Linked DNA regions of Medicago truncatula. Each later gene encodes a partner of the first gene's protein in a complex. Links are inferred from orthologs where the notes say so. Each region holds a gene or a part of one and is shown on either strand. Other genes may lie near its edges.

Evidence for each region. The genes of interacting proteins can lie anywhere in the genome.
Region 2: NAD(P)H-quinone oxidoreductase subunit S, chloroplastic (region 1) and photosynthetic NDH subunit of lumenal location 1, chloroplastic share a complex: the UniProt entries of both Arabidopsis thaliana proteins name them as parts of the chloroplast NDH complex. The link is inferred for Medicago truncatula from reciprocal best matches to the Arabidopsis thaliana genes NdhS and PnsL1.
Region 3: NAD(P)H-quinone oxidoreductase subunit S, chloroplastic (region 1) and NAD(P)H-quinone oxidoreductase subunit T, chloroplastic share a complex: the UniProt entries of both Arabidopsis thaliana proteins name them as parts of the chloroplast NDH complex. The link is inferred for Medicago truncatula from reciprocal best matches to the Arabidopsis thaliana genes NdhS and NdhT.

What each region holds. Positions count from the first base shown.
Region 1 is NC_053049.1:12,186,441-12,192,549, reverse strand, and holds NAD(P)H-quinone oxidoreductase subunit S, chloroplastic, read left to right. Parts: upstream 1-4,410; 5' UTR 4,411-4,657; coding exon 4,658-5,392; 3' UTR 5,393-5,486; downstream 5,487-6,109. Other genes in the region: methionine adenosyltransferase 2 subunit beta, read left to right, coding at 1,006-1,224, 2,616-2,775, 2,877-3,064, 3,270-3,393, 3,663-3,793, 3,964-4,095. UniProt on the Arabidopsis thaliana protein: NDH shuttles electrons from NAD(P)H:plastoquinone, via FMN and iron-sulfur (Fe-S) centers, to quinones in the photosynthetic chain and possibly in a chloroplast respiratory chain.
Region 2 is NC_053042.1:55,807,006-55,814,388, reverse strand, and holds photosynthetic NDH subunit of lumenal location 1, chloroplastic, read right to left. Parts: upstream 2,886-7,383; 5' UTR 2,758-2,885; coding exon 2,704-2,757; intron 2,621-2,703; coding exon 2,524-2,620; intron 2,367-2,523; coding exon 2,283-2,366; intron 2,195-2,282; coding exon 2,121-2,194; intron 1,757-2,120; coding exon 1,634-1,756; intron 1,553-1,633; coding exon 1,481-1,552; intron 1,375-1,480; coding exon 1,278-1,374; intron 921-1,277; coding exon 817-920; 3' UTR 622-816; downstream 1-621. Other genes in the region: transcription termination factor MTERF4, chloroplastic, read left to right, coding at 1-9; aquaporin TIP1-3, read left to right, coding at 4,008-4,140, 4,447-4,697, 5,139-5,513. UniProt on the Arabidopsis thaliana protein: NDH shuttles electrons from NAD(P)H:plastoquinone, via FMN and iron-sulfur (Fe-S) centers, to quinones in the photosynthetic chain and possibly in a chloroplast respiratory chain.
Region 3 is NC_053045.1:11,829,632-11,836,089, forward strand, and holds NAD(P)H-quinone oxidoreductase subunit T, chloroplastic, read right to left. Parts: upstream 2,108-6,458; 5' UTR 2,095-2,107; coding exon 1,703-2,094; intron 1,095-1,702; coding exon 677-1,094; 3' UTR 622-676; downstream 1-621. Other genes in the region: ran-binding protein M homolog, read left to right, coding at 1-209. UniProt on the Arabidopsis thaliana protein: NDH shuttles electrons from NAD(P)H:plastoquinone, via FMN and iron-sulfur (Fe-S) centers, to quinones in the photosynthetic chain and possibly in a chloroplast respiratory chain.

The DNA of each region.
Region 1 (6,109 bases):
ACGGTTGACCACCTTTTCCTTACATGCTCGACTTTTGGATTGTTATGGCAGCTTGTTCGTGTTTGGATTGGCGTTGTGGGGGTCGATACTAAAAATATTTCCGACCATTTGTTGCAATTTACTTATATGTTAGGTGTTTGTAAAGCTAAACGTTCGTTCTTGGAGCTAATTTGGCTCATGTGTTCTTGTGTTGTCTGGAACGAACGAAACAACCGACTGTTTAATAATATTGTAACCTTAGTCCCTTGTATGTTAGATAAAGTTAAATTGTTATCTTTGGGATGGCTGAAAGCCAAAAATGTCATGTTTGTATTTGGCCAGAGATGGTGGTCAAGTTGTTTAGCTTGTTTGAGCATTGGCTAACACCGATGGTGTTCTCGTGTAGTTGTTAACATTCCTTGTTGTACTTTAGGAGGTTCTAGACACACCTTATGCTTGGAAGCTACTATTTGGTTTGGTTATATTTAATTCTCTCTTGACTTGTTAAAAAAAAAAAACCTTTGTTCAATTTATGTTTTTAATTCTTACAAAATTACAAGCTTTCAAATTGAGTTATTACAAAAAATTATTCATTTTAATTTCTATTTTTATTTATAGGGACTATTTTAAAGAACTAAAAATATAAAATATTTTCAAAATAAAAACTATTCTTACAAACTATAATATTTTGAAGTTCACGTGAACTTAACTGAATTGATATGAACAATGCATTATATATGTAAGGTTCGGGAATCGAACTCCGACCACCACAAAAAAAAAAAACTATAATATTTTAAAGAATTAAAATCACCATTAAAATTTTATAAACATTAAATTTGAAAACTCATGATTTTGTAGAGACTAAAAACACGATTAAAAAGAAAATGTACCCACAAACATAGGCCTAATCCTACGAAAATGTAAAAAAAAATAATAAAAGAATTCAGACACAAAACATTGACCATTACAATTACTACAACGTGAAAGCAATCAAAAGTAAACAAAAAAGAAACAAGAAGAGAAGTGATGAGTAAGAAGAAGATATTGATTGTGGGAGGCACAGGTTACTTGGGTCAGCATCTATTACAATCTTATTATTCTAATCAATCTCTGACAGTGGCATTCACCTATCACTCTTCTCCTCTTCTTCAACCTTTGTTGGATGCATTTCCTGATTCTCAATCTTTCCAAGTCGATTTGAAATCTGGCATTGGATTTGATGCCATTTCCAATGCTTTTGGCCAGGTTCTTTTCTCACTTTTCTAACTTACAATTCAATTGGGTCGTGACAAAACATGATTTTTATTAATGGGCTTGATCTGATTCATTGCAAATTGTAATATGACTTACTGATTTATACGGATTAGTTTGTTTAGTTTATCTACCAGTTTATGATATGTGCAGAAGTTGTTTTCAACTTATTTTCATAAGCTTGAACCAGGATAACTTATGAAAACAGCTTATAGCTTATATGAAAATATATTTCTTTTTTATATAAATATTTTATACAAAATCACTTTTGTGATAAGAGATTATACTATAAGCACCTACTTAAACTGTTTATCCAAACATGTTAGTGTATGTAAGATTGAATTGAAGTCGTATATGCTATGTTTGAGATAACAATTTAGTCTAAATTTACCAAAAGTACTTTTACAAGTTGGAAAATCAATGCAGTTTACTTTTTAAAAATATTTTTTATTTTTCATAAATTTGTGTTAGTTTTACTTTTTTTTTAACAAAAAAACAAAATTCGCCCACCGTGGGGCTCGAACCCACGACCACAAGGTTAAGAGCCTTGCGCTCTACCAACTGAGCTAGACGGGCTTGGTTGTTTTTGTTTCACTTGTTAATAAAGAGAAAGGAGAATGTTTGAACATGTATTCTTACTTCCAAAAATGCATATCACCCTAGCTACTTTTTTTTATTTTTTTTTATATCATCTCTTCATTACATTGACTAACTTCAAAATCAAAAGTTTCTCATCTTCTTATTAGTAAGTTAAAGTGAACATGTCTTCTTATTTGCTAGTTAAAAATGAACACATTTTATCTTCCATTCACCCTAAACATGCACTTCCTCCATTAGCAGCCCTTACTTTCATTCATACTTGAAGTTGAATTTAATTAAAAAAGGGTTTTTCTATCATCTGCAAACTTGCACATGTTAAGAAATTTAAAGTAGTAAGTTTGTATTGGAACTTGAACATTTTATATTAAATATATAACTTTTTAATAAATACTTGTGGTTTTTCAATAAAAAGTTGCTACTTTTAGTTTCTTTAACATGTGCAATGTTGCACATGTTAGACAAACCCATTAAAAAAATATAAATCTAACGCTACATGCTTTTGAAGTTTCAGAGTTCGTGTTTATATAAGAAAAAGGCTGTTATCTCCTTTACCTCTCAATTTGATAGTCACTCATTATTCTTGCTATACCAGTATGAAAATGGATTTGTGTGCTACGCAAACGCATGTATCTCGCAGAAATAAAGAGATAAAGCATGTTTGGTTTGGTCTTTTATGTAACAAATTTTCAAACATCTATAAGTTGGATAGATGCCAGTTGCTTACAAATAAGAGTTTAAGCTTTTAATATTGGATTGACAATTCTCTGTTTGTTTGTTAATGGCAGCCTGATGTGGTTGTCAATTGTGCTGCCATCTCGGTGCCTCGTGCTTGTGAAAATGATCCTGATACTGCAAATGCTATTAATGTGCCGTCATCCCTCGTAAAATGGTTGCAAAGCTTTAAACAGAACAGTACTCTTCTCATTCATCTCTCCACAGATCAAGGTAAACCAATCTAATCGCAATCAATACATTGCATTGCTATCTATAACCATGCTCATTTTCACTTTGATAGCTAAACTGCAATTTATGTTTCTTCTCATTAGTTTACGAAGGTGAGAAGTCCTTTTACAAGGAAGAAGACATTCCTATTCCAGTAAATGTTTATGGAAAAACTAAAGTGGCAGCAGAGAAGTTCATTTCAGAAAACTTCCCAAACTTTGCGATTTTGAGAAGCAGTATCATCTATGGGCCACAAACTGTCTCACCAGTTCCAAAATCTCTTCCTATTCAGGTGCATGTGCAGTATATAGAATTATACTTTATTTGAAAACTAATGCTTCCAGCATTAGGATCGATGAAACTTGAAATGTGAATGATGCTTGCAAATTCTGTTACTTATTGCATGATGAATTCTTAAAAGACGGTGGTAGTGTTTGGCTCACCATTTTTCCGTCTGCAATAAAAAAAATAACTGAGAAAATCTCTTATTATTGCAGTGGATTGACAGTGCCCTTTCTAAAAGAGAAAAGGTGAATTTCTTTCACGACGAGTTCCGTTGTCCAATTTTCGTTAAGGATCTCGTAACTATCATACTAGCTTTAACAAGCCAGTGGTTATCAGGTACAGAACTTTTTGTAAATAACTCGTGTATATTGTTTAAACATGTGGTACGCTGCAAAAAGAGATTCTTAATGAAACTGATTTTCAGTTAGATCTTTTTTAAGGTTTCAAAACACTTTTATTGGAGATGGTCAATCCTTATCTATGAAAATTGTTTATATCTTATAACTCTTTTACAATTATGTACGACATTTTCACTTTCATGTGTTCTTTAAACTTGAGGGGTCTCAAATTCGCTTTCATGATTTGATTTCTGATTCTTGTCACAGAGGGAAAGCAAATGCAGTTGTTACTTAATGCCGGTGGACCTGATAGGGTATCGCGCGTTGAAATGGCTGACGCTGTTGCACAATTCAGAGGGTATGATACCTCATTAATCAAAGCAGTCTCTGCTTCAACGGTATGTGTTATGCTTCATTTATAACTAAAATTTTGTGATGTGGAATTCAAAGCTTTTCATTTATCTTTTGATGTCAATTTGATCAGTTTGGTAACATGATATGATTTATCTGCTCGTCTTTGATTGTTCTTTATTGCGACATTTTTGAGTTTTCGTTATTGTTTTTCCAGGTTGACCGAGGTGTGAAGTCCCCGGCTGACATATCTATGGATATCACTAGATTGGTTCAAACTCTAAATATTAATCCTGTTTCATTTAAAGACGGTGTTAAATTAACGCTTACAACTGAAGCTCAACAGTGAGGCAGAAACAAACTTGTCGTATAAGGCTTCCTTGTTTATTTGAGTATCGTTGTTCACCATTAAAAATGACATGTGCTCTCAATAGTTGTTACTGCATTTAGATTGCTGTAAAATAAATCTATGTAAATTCTTGAAAATACCAAGAATGGAAATAGTGGGTCATCATTGTAACACACTCTTTCCATCATGTGTCATTATCATGGGAATTATGTCATACTTTTCATTAGGCTTGAAAATATGTTGCCTTGGCTTTTCACTGCTATAATTTCTCATGATAAATTGTGTGTTTGGATTACTTTAATTTGATGCTAAAATGAATTTAATCATAAGGTTATGTTGCAAAAAAATTCTTTCCTCATATAGGCAAATTTGGTCCAAAGAATATACTTTGTGGTCAAGATTAAATTGGAAGAAGATTTTCTGATAGTTTTTCATTTCATAAAAAGATAGGCCTATCCAATAATTTTGTGGCCAGGATTAGATTCTGAAACTATGCTATCCATCCCTCTTTCTCCTCTCTCTAATGTTGTTTTCAGCCAATTTTCTGAACAGTTAATTAAAAATGTCTTCCTTTGTTGCTCTTCATAGCCTTCATGGCTCTCTTCTTAGATCCAAATTCTTAGGCCAAGAGAACCTCACTCATCTTTATCCTCACAGCAATAAAGCTTCCATCTTTCACAGCAAACCGACCTTCAAAACAGTACAAACATGTGCCAAATTCGACTTGCTGCAGATCATGGGAGGCAGAGGTCTCTGCAAAGGAGAAGAAGGTCTTCAAAAAGAGCTTAAAAGAGAAGTTGGTCTTGATGATCAGAATCAGCCAACATCATCAGAAGCAAGTGACAAAGAACAAGAAGACTCAACAAGTAACTCAACAAAATCCTTTGAAAGTGTTGCAGAAGACGGGTTTGATAAAGAGTTAATGGGGTTAACCGGAGGATTTCCTGGAGGTGAAAAAGGTTTGAAAAAATTCATTGAAGAGAACCCTCTTCCTAAAACTGTTAAAGGAAACAAAAGCCTTAAACTTTCTTCATCGGAGAAGCCAAAACCACCGGAACTTCCTATGTTACTTCCAGGAATGATTGCTATTGTGAAGAATCAAAATAATCCTTTTTACATGTACTGTGGTATTGTTCAAAGAATCACTGATGGTAAAGCAGGAGTACTGTTTGAAGGAGGGAATTGGGATAAGTTGATCACCTTTAGGCTTGAGGAACTTGAGAGAAGAGAAAAAGGTCCTCCTATGAAGAATCCTAAGTCTTGCGTTCTTGAACCATTTCTTGTAAAGAAATCATAGTTTTCAGCTCTTTGTTGTTATTGTGTAACAAAACATGTTCACTTTTGTATCATACTACATGTTTCTGACAATTGAATCTTAGTTGTGTATTTCATTTGCTGCTTTGATCTTTTATTTAGAAGTAAAAAAAGTTTAAGGTAAAAAGATATGAAGCACACATGTAGTAGACACTACGTTGACACAGACATGTTAAAGTAGTAATAATAATTTGAAAAATAAAAGTAATTAAATGTAACTACATATGTTAGTGTCGGACACTGGACACCTTTGATGTGACGTTGGTGCTAAAAGAGTATTTCATTGTGCTGAACCTTTCTTAATACTCTTTAATTTTGGTACATGTTCATGTAAAGAATGGATGGAGTATTAACAACTTACGGTTTCTGTTAAGAACAAAATCAGTTTATGTGCTACTTTCAAAGTTATTGCAATAAAGTCAAATATTGTAATGATATGATAATTTTGAATGATTATCGATATTGTTATTGTTTAATTTTATATAAGATTGATGATTTCAGGATTAAATTATTGAAAAAATATATTTTAGGATTAAACCTTAGACGAAATTTAATGATTCACTTATTAGAAATAAACATATTCTCTTGACCAAAAAAAAAAAAAAAAGAAATAAACATATTCAACGTTAATCAGTTGGATCATGATATTGGATTAAACAATAATTTTAATATGATTAAATAGTCAATTACCCCCTGGAAT
Region 2 (7,383 bases), on another chromosome or scaffold:
TCTCTTTAGCAGAACAATGCATTTTTTATTTTTATTTTGCTTGATGAAATAACTAGAGTATAACTTTCATGTTATCAAATGAAGGACTATGATTAATCTCTTTCCATTTTATATTACTATTACTGCAATTGTCATCTCAAGTTTTCTATCTATTCATTACCCTCATGGCCACAACTATCTTTCAGGTGAAATGAGGTATAAAACCAATGATAGCATGTGGTATAGTACTTGTTAGTTATATTGCCCTTAACTTCCATGTATTTTGTGTCTGTTTGGATTTGGTGTCTTGGTCGTCTTGGCTTTCACAATTGAAATTGGATTAGTATCATCAAGAAAGAAAGGAAAAAAAATTATATTCATTACAATTTTCTTCACCTCTTAAGTGGTGATGGTTATGTGACTTTGAAGGTAGCAGTGAGTGAGACAGTTTAGTGCCTTGTTATATAATCTGTTTGGCAAGGCCTATTCATGAGCATATATCAGATATCTTAAATAGGGTATAAGTTCATTTCTTTAAAATAGATCTGTTTGGCACAAAAAATTTCTCATGATTTTATAGCGTTTTTTTATAAACTAAAAACTTTTTGATGGCAACCTACATCCTTCTGTAATTCTCAGTGATTTATAAAGTTTATCATATTCACATGCAATGTATGTGTCAAAGTGGATGGCCTCTGTATGCAATACAGAAACTGAGCTTTTGTATTTGTATGATATAGATGAAGATGATATCATTCACTTGCAAAAATTTACATATATTTCAATCTTGACGTGTAAGGAAAAATTGGAACATGTCTTGCATTGTCATGTAACATTTCAGATGTCAAGGAGCCTAAAGGAGTCTGCTACCACTTTAAGCTGATCTCGTACTTTTTTCCATCGTCTTTCATTGGCTCCCACAATTAATGTGTAGTATCTTCCTGTACAGAATGAATGTTATTACTTATTAGTTTACATAAGGAGCCTTTGATTGCATTGAAAACTCATGCAGTTGAACTTCTGTATATTAACAGTATAATCTGTTTTTATGACACTGAAGTCGTGTAATTTCGAAGAAATTGGCTTCATTTGAATAATTAGTCTTCTCAATGTTGTCTCTCTATCTGGGTTGCACATTCTTTGTTAATTTTCTACCTGTGTCACTTATAATCATTTTTCTATATGAAGATTCTTGTTGTATTATCTAACAGGACAGAGAAGTATATATTGAGTTAGCTTTTCTTTGAGAGAACATTTATTGGATATCACACTGAGATTTGAGATGGTAGACTACTTACCATTTCCTATGGCAAGTGTTGTAAAGGAGGCACTAGCGTAATTTCGTGATGTAAGTACATATTCCATTGTATAATAATGTTTTCCATCTATCGTCCGCTGCATTCAGAATTCAGAAATGATTGTTTGTCAATATGCATTGGCCATCAAAACCTACAATATTCTTTTGAAAAAAACAAATTGGAGAAGAAATGAAATGAGAAACCTCTTGCATGTCATATATTGTTGGTCTTTGGTTTGGTGCAGTATATCTATGTTTCACCAAATCAGTTATAACCTGATTAAGACGCAAACTGGCTAAGTGTATAACTATAAATTAGACTCCATAACATTAAGACAGAATCTAAATCATAATCACCTCTTCCATTGGACCCAAATCTCTGATATCTTTCTTCTCAGTTGGTATGAATCTCACCCTTACATTTTGTAACTGTAAATATCTGTCTTTGAATGCAGAATCGTGTGCCCTGAAGTCAAATTCCTAGGGAAAAGATCACCCAGACAAGTGACAAACTTGTAGAAAATTATTTGGTTGTTGAAACTAATTCCTCTGTCTTATCTTAAGTTTTGATCAACATTACACAAACACTTACAAAGATCATTGAGTGTACTAATTCATGTGATAAAATCAACGCAATATACTGAAGCACCCTTATTAATATAGTTACGCGAATATATAACTAAGCTGAGATACAATAAATAAATGTATATTTGTGAAAAAACTTAATCAATGCTTCATTGATATTTTAAAATGAGAGATGATGAGGTGGACAAATATTTCAAATGTGATAGTTAATATGAAAACAACGGAATAACATTTTGTGAACCAATATGATGAATTTTACCTTCCAATCTGAGGGATAAATGTAAGAATATCCATCTTCATAGTCGACAAAAGATCGGTATCTGTCTGGTATTTCTACAAAATAAGGACTAATTGAATTTCAAAATTTCAGAAGATTGTGACTCCTCTTTACATATCCAAACAAAGATGTTATTATGAATACCTTCAGCTAAGAGTGAATTTGCTGGTAGCAAATTTGCTGTTAATGCTCCTATACCCAACAGAAGTGGTCTTCTCTGGCAGTGTCCTAATAATAAATAAAAAGAAAACTCAGATCAAGCTTTGATAAAGGTAGATTACTTCTGATAAGTGTTGATTCTTGATTAGCACAAACACTGACATGCTCATTGTAAAGTCAATGTAAACTTGATAGTAGTTATTTTAAGCACAGATTAAGCTCTTACTTTCTGTACTGGAAGTTGTTTCCATTGCACAAGAGACATTGTTAGAAGATGAAGTTGTAGTATTCCGAAGCAAATGATTTGAATGTGGCAAGTTTAGCTGAAACAGTTCACATGAGCTGTTTATGTATAAAGAACATAGTGTGAATGCAATGAAGAAAACAAAATATATCATGAACACACCTTATGGGATAAGTAGGATGAAGTCCAGGTTAAAGAGCAAGAAGAAACTACCATAGTGGTGAAGAAGAGTGGTATAGAGCTTCAGTTTTGAGATGGAAAGAAATACTGAGTGGATAGTAAGTAGAATTTAGACCTTGTGATGTGGCTAGGAGTTTGTGGTCATGTGACAAGAATGAAACTTGTTATTTTTTTTTTTTTTTTTCATTTAATTGGATAATGTCTCTTCTCAACTATTATTTTATCTTAATTATTTGAAAAATCTTTCCTATACCCCCTCAGCTGGATCTTCTATACGCACAAAACATATAATATCCACATTTTGTTCTTAATTTTTTTTTTTTATGTATTTATACTTATAAAATTCAAATTTTAAATTTCCAGATTGTATTAGTTATTTGTTAAAAAATATTTCAGAAAAACAAAAAATATTTGTGTTTCTTTATCAGATTTTTTTGAGTTTTTCAGAAACTATATGTTAAAAAAAAACTTAAAATTTGATATTATTATTTTTTATTATTTTTTAAAAAATAATAATATTTTTCTAATTATTTTTCATTCCAAAGTTTCTGGTTATAGAGTTGGAAGGAAGGGAGTTTTTTTCACCGAGTGATTTTTTTTTAGTGGTCGAGAAATTTAAAGTGACGGGTTCAAAGGTATGTATATTTACCTCTCTGCAAAAGTATTAATGAGACTCGAATCCAAGAGGGTCTGTCTTTTTACCACTGAACTAGACCTTTGGAGTTGCCTGCACCGAACGAATTTTGCAAAGAAAAATCCTCCAAAATCCATTAGTAAATATTGTGCACTTAGTATTTGTGAGAAACAACTTGGAAGGAAGGGAATATACTATTACTATGTAGTTGGGTAAGGAGGATACCAAAATTTGTGAACTAAATGAATTTGTGCAATTTGTGTCAATTATTTGTCAAGTTTCATTGTTGATTTCAATGACATCATGGCCGGTCAATTTATAAAGATAAATTGTTGCAATGGTGAATACATGAAGTTAACTATCTAAATTCTCAACCCTTTGATCTTACCATGCAGTTACATCACAGCCACAAAACAAGAGCCAAAAATAGTAATCATGTGACAAACTCTTAGGCTGTATAAACTGATTCTACATGGTCTTTACCCTTAAACAATTGAATGAGACCGTTTCTTTAGCCGTTAATACTTACCTTTGTTGTTTAAACACCAAATGATTAGCTCTCACACTTTATTTTCACTCTTAGAAAAATTAATAAAATTAACAAAAACACATTTCTTCTGTTTCTGTATGTTAAGGTTGATTTAATTAATTAATGGCAATCTACAGAATAGCAATTGGGTCTCCTAGAGAGGCTAGCAATCCTGCTGCAATTAGAGCAGCCTTTGCAGAGTTCTTCTCTATGCTCATTTTTGTTTTTGCTGGCCAAGGCTCTGGCATGGCCTATAGTGAGTAATATAGATAACTTTTTGAAGAGTATTACATATTATTACATATACATTTTTTAACATTATCTTTTTTATACTCGTTCAATTATTGATTGATATTAGAAATAGATCTTAAATGAAGTGGTGAGATGTACGATAATTTCACTCAATAAAAAGATAGAGCGTTGAAAACGAATTATTAGTTAGTTTATTGTAAGCAATAAGTGTTTTAGAAACTTATTTTGTGACATTAGAAGATAATTATTTTTCAATGCCTTAGAATTGTTGAGAATTTGAAGATATATAGCTTGTTGGCTATTGTGGCAGATAAACTTACAAACAATGGAGCTGCCACTCCTGAAGGTCTCATAGTTGCATCATTATCTCATGCATTTGGGTTATTTGTGGCTGTTTCTGTTGGTGCAAACATTTCTGGTGGACATGTGAACCCTGCAGTCACATTTGGTGCTTTCATTGGAGGAAACATTACCTTCTTGAGAAGTATTTTGTATTGGATTGCACAGTTACTTGGTGCAGTTGTTGCTTGCATTCTTCTCAATTCATGCACTGCTGGAATGGTAACTAAATGAATCTACTACACATGCATTTCCTTCACCTAATTTAAAATATAGGCTCAAATGCACTTTTTAGTTTAATTTTGTTGATGTGTTCTCTTGTTAATACATTTGATGACGTGGCAATGTTGAATTGGATAATAACATATTAAGATTTAATTTAAATCACCATCACCATATCATGAAATGTATTTCCATGTCGTTAATGAAAGATGACATATAAGAAAAATTAAGCTCAAAATCAGGTAGTTGAGAAAAATTCAAAAACTTGTGAAGTGAACTAAATTTTGAGATTTAGAACGAGTGGACTAAAATCTTAATTCAATAATAATTAGAAGATCAAAAGTGGATTTTAACTATAAAACAGAAATTGAACACTAGTTGAATTTGAGATATCAGTGCTACATTTAGATTTTATATATATATATATATATATATATGCAGGAAACATCAGGTTTTGCTCTATCCTCTGGTGTGTCTGTGTGGAATGCATTAGTTTTTGAGATTGTGATGACATTTGGATTAGTATATACAGTTTATGCAACAGCAATAGACCCAAAGAGAGGGAATGTTGGTGTTGTAGCACCATTAGCAATTGGTTGTATTGTGGGTGCAAATATCTTGGTTGGTGGTGTTTTTGATGGTGCATCAATGAACCCAGCTGTGTCTTTCGGGCCTGCTGTTGTTAGTGGAACATGGACTCATCATTGGGTCTATTGGGTTGGCCCATTCATTGGTTCAGCTACTGCTGCCATTCTCTATAATAATATCTTCATTGCTGATCACGTTCATGAACCCCTTTCAAATAGTGACTTCTAGAATTTTTATTATTTTTTCTTCTTCTTTATTTCATGTATTCTGGTCCCTCTACATATTATTGAGGGATCAATAATACTGCAGTAGAATCTTTAGGGAGTATTCAATATTTTTATTGCCTAGAAGTGATTACCAATATTTGTTCATTACATTATAGTGCCAAAATGGATAAATGTTGGTTACTGATAGTATTTTAATTTTAATAAGCTGAAAGAGAAAGGTAAAAAAAAAAATGAATTTGTTCATTCTTGTCTAATCTAACCTAAATTTAATAATGATTGAAAATAAATTATAGCATTGGACATGCATTTTGGAGGCATGTTTTCATGATATGCACTGTGACCTGACCATATGGCACAAGATGATTAATTAATAATGCTAAACTAGTCCGACTTGAGAGGTTTCTTGATGACCAAGTCAAGAGGATCATCTTCCACCAAAAACAAAAATCCAAGAGGAAATGATCAATATAATATCATCATTCAAAAAGACCAACAAGAAAAACGCCATCAGATTCGGTTCTACAAAATCTGTGCATATTTTTATGTAGATTTATTTCGATCATTTTAAAAGACATGCTATATAATAGAATGCTATCTGTGCTCGTGATTTTCGGGTATCAAGCCATTGATTGGTTTTGAACCTTCAATCTTTGAACTCTCGATTTTTATTCGTGGGAGGGAAAAAATGAGTAAAAACCTTTAAGACCTGGATTCGGGGGTTGGTTACGCAAAGGGAAGGTGCTAGCACCCTAAGCGTCTATGATATTCCATAGGAACCTCTTACCTAGATTATCTTGTGCTAAATTCATTTGCTTATTTGAAAAATTATTACCTAAAAATCTAAGTGAAAGAATGGAGGGAGAAGAAATATGTTTTTGGTTATTTTTATTTGATTTGGAAGGACATGGTCCTCTGCCTACGTACCCATGAGGGATTAAAACCTCGTAGTTCGGGGTAGAAATTGACGTTTGATCGGTTTTGTGTTTTTTTATTAGTTTTGAAAAAGGTTTTAAAATGAAAAGTCAAGTGGCAAATAAGAATCTGTTTGTGTTTTTTAATTTAAAAGAAAATGGACTTGAAGTAGAATTAAGTTGATTGAAATTTGATTAAAAAAATAAAATAAAAAGACGGTCACTTGATTTAAGATCAAGATTTATTGTAAAAAAATATTTTTGGTGGTTTTTGTTATTTGGATGTTTTTGTTATTTTGAATGATAAATAAAACCTAAAGCTAAAGCATGAGAATTTTGTAGTGAGGTTGGATCACCACAAAATCTCTTAACATAATCTAATTTTTTTTTCATTTTTTATAACTTAAGAGCAAAATAAAATAAAAAATAAATACCTTGAAACCGAAAAGGACAGAAAGGAGTAGAAAAAGAAGAAAGACTCGTCAAGACAAGTCGAAGAAGGGAGAAGAGAGGAAAAACACAGGAATCATCAACTGTGTTTTCGGTGTGTTGAATGCATTGTATGAGCCCTCTATTTATAGAGAAACTTCACAACTAATAGGTGAGAAACTTTGGGAACAAGTAATTCATCTAGTACAAAAATATGCCAATTGTCTACCAAAATATATTGAGTACAAAAATATATTATTCAGTACATAAATATGTTATTTAGTACATAAATATATATTATTGAGTATCAAAATATATTTCAGATCAAGCACTAAAATATATTAGATTGTCTACCAAAATATATCATATTGAGTACAAAAATATATTATTCAGTACATAAATATGTTATTCAGTACATAAATATATATTATTGAGTATCAAAATATATTTCAGATCAAGCACTAAAATATATTAGATTTTCTACCAAAATATTTTAGATTGTGTTCCAAAATATTCTAGATTGCGTTCTAA
Region 3 (6,458 bases), on another chromosome or scaffold:
CGCAGCGCGAAGTTGTAGCCGACGCAGTAAATGCAATGATATTGTCTACAAATCCCAACATAAAAGTAACGAAAAATTGCTTGCACTCCAATCTCGAGAGGTTACTAAGACAGCTCACTGCATGTTGCTTAGAGAGACGATCGTTGAGTGGAGAGCAAGGAGAAGCTTTTCAACTTCAGAGAGTGCTTAGCAGTGGTAAAAGAAGCTAGTGCTATATCTCTATTGATCTTCTAACTCTGCTGTTCATATCACCCTTTTTGGTTTTGTAACAATGCCAAATGATCAAATTGATCTTCGGGTCTCATGCCGCGGAGTCCTCCCACCTATGTACATGTAGACTATCTTTTAAGGGGGTGGGTTTTGTATATGCATGTAAGTTTGTAACTTTTTAATAATCAAAACGATGGAAATTAGAAATTGAACTAGTCATGATTTCAATTTTAGCTGTAAAATATACAAGCTTCTGTTTCTGTTTTGTTGTGCTTCTGTATTCAATCTTAGCTATAAAAGAAAATTGGTCTCTTATATTCGTTTATTTACTGTTTGAAAAAATGTTTTTATATTAAAATAAAAACAATTTTTGAAGTAAAGTTGAAAACAGAAATCAAATAGGTCCTCAGGTGTTGTGAATTTTTTCCTTTACTTCTATAGCATCACATATACAAATTTACAGATATCAGTATTCTTTAAAGAAAACTACATAAGTGATACAACATATGGAAAAAATAATGATAAAAATATCAATAGTGATAGCTGAAACAGCTTGATCACTAAGCTTCATATTCTTTCCACCAAGACGATCAACCATGTCTGGAACAGGTTCATAATTCTTCAAAGCTACCTCATAAGGATCCTCTAATTTTATTTTCAATTTCTCTTGTTGGCGACTTGCAACCTCTTGAGCAAGTGTCCAATCATAGAATCTCCTACTTTCTTCATTGCTCAGAACAGTGTAAACTTCTTTTAATTTCATGAATTTTTCTGAGGCTGTTTTTAGAGGGAGTGAAGTTGTGTCTGGATGATACTCCTTTGATAGTTTCCTGAATGCCATTTTGATTGCTTCTACATCAGCTTCTGGTGATATTCCTAAGAATCTGCACAAATATTCCATTATTCAGTAACTATTGTCATTTAAATAAACAAGTTTCTCATGAAACCAAATCTCTGGCAACTCATAAGTTAGCAACTTATGCACAAGTTTTTATTTTTAAAAAGAAAAGAAATTATCATGTTCTTTAAAGAAAAACAGAATTGAATAATAGTATCTTGACTAAACTTGAGTTTAAATAAACTTCATTCTGGAAAATTCAGTTTACAATGCAACAAACCCTTAATTATTTTTCTCTTAACCCAAAACATGTATTGATTATGTCAAAATTAGTTGTTTTAGCCTTTTAGCGAACATTTGAACTCAAGTCGCATCCAAACTATTCAACTTTAGCTGAAACGCTTTAGTTACACTTAGTGTTCGTTTGGTTTGGCGGTGGTTTTTATAAAATCACGGTAAGTTTCCATGTTTCTACAAAACCTTGCTTTTGTAGCTTCAGGATTTTCACGTCTAGCTTGCCTCGGAACATGATATTTGTCTTGCAAAAGCTAATCCAAACACATACTTATACTAACTTCTAGTTTAAAATTGAATTTCAAGGCAAAATTTTGGTGTTTTATACTTTTTGTAGGAAACAGTTATAAAGAAACTCACTCATAATGAGAACCTTGAAAATTGAGCAAATCAGCAAAGTCTTCACCCAAAAGCTTCTTAGGTTTCTCCTCTGCATTTGTTTGTTGCTGTTTGGTGCTACCTCCAATCCAACCTTCATCATCATTCTCCCAATGGATTCTTGTGTCAATTCCAGGTGGTGCTTTTTGTGGTCCTTGAGAGTCCTTAGAAGCATGAACTTGGAAACTGTAGTGAGAGTTTGAGGTTCTTGCTATCCTAAAAATTCTTATTCTTCTTATTGTTTTGGTGTTTCCTAAGATTGGATTGAATAGTAGAATTTGTGGAGAAGGTGTTGCTGTTGAAGCCATGAGGGTGGAACAAAAGAAATAGTTATGGTTAGATTTTGGAATGCTCAGGTTCAATACATGCCCCATGTTCTGTTCTGTTATTTTGTGGTTCACAATAAATTTGGGACATGGAATTTGTAATATTAATTTTAATTAAATTAAAGACGAATTATTTAACTATATTCTAATATAATTATGTGAACATATATATTTTTTTTTATTATTTACAAGAATTATTTATCAAGTGAAAAAATTAAGTAATAACCTGTTTAAATATTGACAAGTTGGTCTATAAGATCATCTCCAATGGCAGGGTCATCAACATTTAAAACTCGGTACCTATTAGGTATCTTCATTAGGGAGAAACTTTTTTGGCGTCTTATAAGACCCGGGGTTTCACTTAAGACCCTCAATCTTAAGCAGGGCCCACACTCTTTTAATATTATAAAATTAAAATATAATGATATAAAATTATTAATAATTGATTAATGCGTCTCATTTAAGAAATTTGTGTGAGATGCTGGGTTGGTTGGAGGGATTGAATACTTATTAGGTACTACTATTAAAAAATTATACTCCATCCGTTTTTAAATATAAGCAAAATTTATTTTTTAGGTTCATTCATTTAATGATGTTTGTGGTCTATATTATGAACCACATACATCATTAAATAAATGGTTAATAGTGCTTTTCACCCCTGTAATATATGTCATTTCCAGTTTTCGCCCCTATAAAAATTTTGGTTTGATTTGCACCCTCGTAAAATTTTTATTTTTCGGAAAACACCCCTAATAGGTCATTTTCATAATTTTTTTTCAAGAAATTTTGGTTTTTGAATGGCCTATTAAGGGTGTTTTCCGAAAAATAAAATTTTTATGTGGGTGCAAATCAAACCGAAAATTTTATAGGGGCGAAAACTGGAAATGACATATATTACAGGGATGAAAAACATTATTGACCCTTAAATAAATGAATCTAGAAAGTCAATTTTGTTTATATTTAAAAACGAAGGGAGTAAATAAGTGATATGTACACGTGAGACTCATTTAAGTACCAAAAAATGGGTGCCTCCATTGTTGGTGCTCTAATATATACTTTTATTTTTGGTTGACATTGAGCCTGTTTGGATAAAGAACTTATTAATTTGCAACTTATAAGTAACAGCACAAGCACTTATCTTGATAAACTATTTTTATAGCAAAAGATAAAATAACTTTAGATCATTTTTGTATATACTATAAGTTATTTTTATAAGATTTATCGGAGAACTTATGAAAAACAAGTTAAAAATAGCTTATGAAAATTGTCATAACTCATAAGTTGTTGTCATGAATTCTCCCAAACAGTTTCAATATTGAACCCAAAATACAATGAAATATTAAAGACATAAAGCATGAAATATAAGCCTATAATCGTTTGTATTATTAATATTACAAGTTATTATAATTTCTTACTGCACATATATTATGTTAAACATTAAATTCTTGCCATTAACGGTAAGTATTAATTGAAAAAAATTAATATTAGATTTTTTAAGCAATAAATTAACGCAATTTCCGATAACATAATTTCTATTAAGGCACAAGTTAACATTTCCCTTATTGAAATTCAGAATTAATCTTTATATTAGGACATAATTATTGAAATTCAGAAGAGTAATCTTTGTTGGGTATGTGAATGGATATTCACATCACATCTGTCGGGTCACTGAGGGGAGTTGGAGGACCTTTCACATCGAGACTTGAACAACCACATAAGTGAGAGAGACACACACTCTTACCAAAAACCTCAAAGTTGTTGAATTCCCTCAAAACATTACATTCCCTTAAAACATTCCCCCATCCAAATACACTCTAAGGCAATGAATATATGGATCCTCTCACTTATAAAGTGTTCAACCTCCACTATTTTATCTGATGTAGAACATATAACTCACAATTGCACACAACAACAACATCCATGTTACAAATAAGTGTTCCATATGCTTTTTAAATTGTACATCCACACTTGATGCAAGGAAAACAATTTAAACCTATAGTTTTAAATTACTATAATTTTTTATCACACATATTACAACATAATTATTGAAATTGAGAGGAGTGATCTTTGTGTATGTGAACAGACATTCACATCACAACTATATTTCAAACAGCAGTACAAATAGGAGTACCATCTGCTTCATAAAGTATACATCCAATTGATGCAAGACAACAATTACATTTTGGGTAGAGGTGTTGACCACCTGTAGAAGGGCAAGTCATGTATGCAACTGTATCATAACAAAATTGTGGGCAAATTTTTTGTGCATCAACATTTTTCAAATTCCCTCCTGAAAAAATTGCACCTGGGATCATAAAAAGAAAGTCAGATTGGTATATATATAATTTGATCAAATAATTTTTATTTTCAGAAAAAAAGGAGACTCTAATTAGCATCCTCACCAAAGTTTAATTAGGTAATTTTCATCTTAGGTATGTATTTAAGTTAGACTCTTTGTCCACGATTTATAACTCAACCTATCTTGAGCTCCCGTTTGTTATATCAAACTTAATTACTTAAACCAAACAGTTGAGTTCAAGTGTTTAAGAGTTTCACCAAAGACGAATCATTCGGGAGAATCCGTTTTTGATTTCTGAACTGAACAATTGCTTTATTTTTTTGAAGGAGCCTTAATTACTTAATAATTAGACCTTTTTATTTTTCGAAAATACTTAGCTAAACATATCATTTTTTATGCCGAGCATTTTTTTTTACGTTTAATGCACCGGTTTCTAAAAATATATTCTAAATATAATATATTTTCTTTTGAACAAGTCAAACTGAAACTATGTAACAAACAAAGGCTCTCTCATATAATGTGAGATTTAAAGAGAGATAAAAGAGTTATGAGATAGATGGAGAGGAAAATGGAACAAGACGATCTAATTCAAAACTCGAGATAAGATGAATGCCCTAATTATGTTTAGGACACATGTTAGTTTCAATGTTAAGCTAAATTCAGTTCAATATCTTTCTATATCTATAAAAAAACAAAGTATAGCATAAATTGCAAAAACAACTACTTAAAAGAAGAAGCAAAATGAAAAAAAAAAACTTTATGTTGAAGGAAGAGAGATGGTGGGTTCAAGATTTACCACAAACGAGGACAAGAAGGATAGTCTCAACCTTTAAAGCCATATTTCTTTGCAAAACTGGTGAAACTTATGTCTCATATTTATAGCATAAAAAAATATTAACGTACATAATCACGCATAGATTATTGAACTAAATCAATAAGAATATTCGCATGGAGCAAAAGTCAGATAAATCGTAAGCATCAAGGGTAGGTTTAATGAGGAAGATGCGATCAATAATAAAACATAAGATAGGAGAAATGCCAACTAATGTGATCGGAGACACTCATTAGAAAAACCTATAAAATAGACTTAATTGTAGTTATGCTGAAATTGATTCTCTTATTTTATTTTAAAATCTTGCAGTTTTGTTCTCCTTCATATAGTCTTTGACTAAAAAAATAATGACATGACATATTTTAAATGATATGCGACTCAACATGGTGGTGATATGGAATGATAAGCACATAATTATTCTAAAAAGCCATATCTGATCTCAATTTAATATCTGTTGAATTCAAATTTGTTAACAATAAAATAAGATATTCAATCCTGTCTTTTTTTTTTTTCTCTTTCTTTTACAATAATTCAATCCTCTATTATACTTTATTATATCCATTCAATTAAGAGTTTTATTTAAAAGTCCGTAAAACTTAATTAACTCAACTTACAACGTCGAAATTGTTAGGTTGAATAATTCAATATTGTATGTGTGAAGTTGATCAAGTTGTGTTTGCCATTTTGTCCGCTAACCAAGACAAAAAATTTATCCTAAGAGGTAAGGTGTGGAGAGGAGTTGTTTGAAGGACGAAGGGAGGGACGTGTGTGCTTGGTGGAGGGAGATGGTACAAATTCGTAATGGTGTAGGTCTCACGATATGGGAGGTTGGTTTAGGACAATATTAGTCCGGAGATTGGGAATGGAGATAATACATTTTTTTTTGGATGGATCAGTGGTTTGGGTGATTTATCGTAATGAGATCGATTTCATAGATTGTTTGAGTTGTCTAAGCACAAGTGGTTGTCGGTTGCAGATATGTTTTCGATAGGCTGGGGTGAGGGTGGTGATGCGTGGAAGTGGAGATGTCGGTTGTTGGTGTAGGAAGGAGGAGCTCGTAGGGAGTGTAGGATTTTACTTCAAACCGTAACTTTGCAGGTTGAACATGATGATCAATGGCTTTGGAAGTTGGATCTAGCTGTTGGTTATTCAGTTAGTGGTGAGTATCAGTTTTTTACTAGCTACGCTCCTGGTCCAACTTCATCAGTTCTGAATCTCTTTTGCCATAAACATGTCCCCTTGAAGGTGTTGGTGTTTGCGTAGTGGCTCTTACGCAATAGA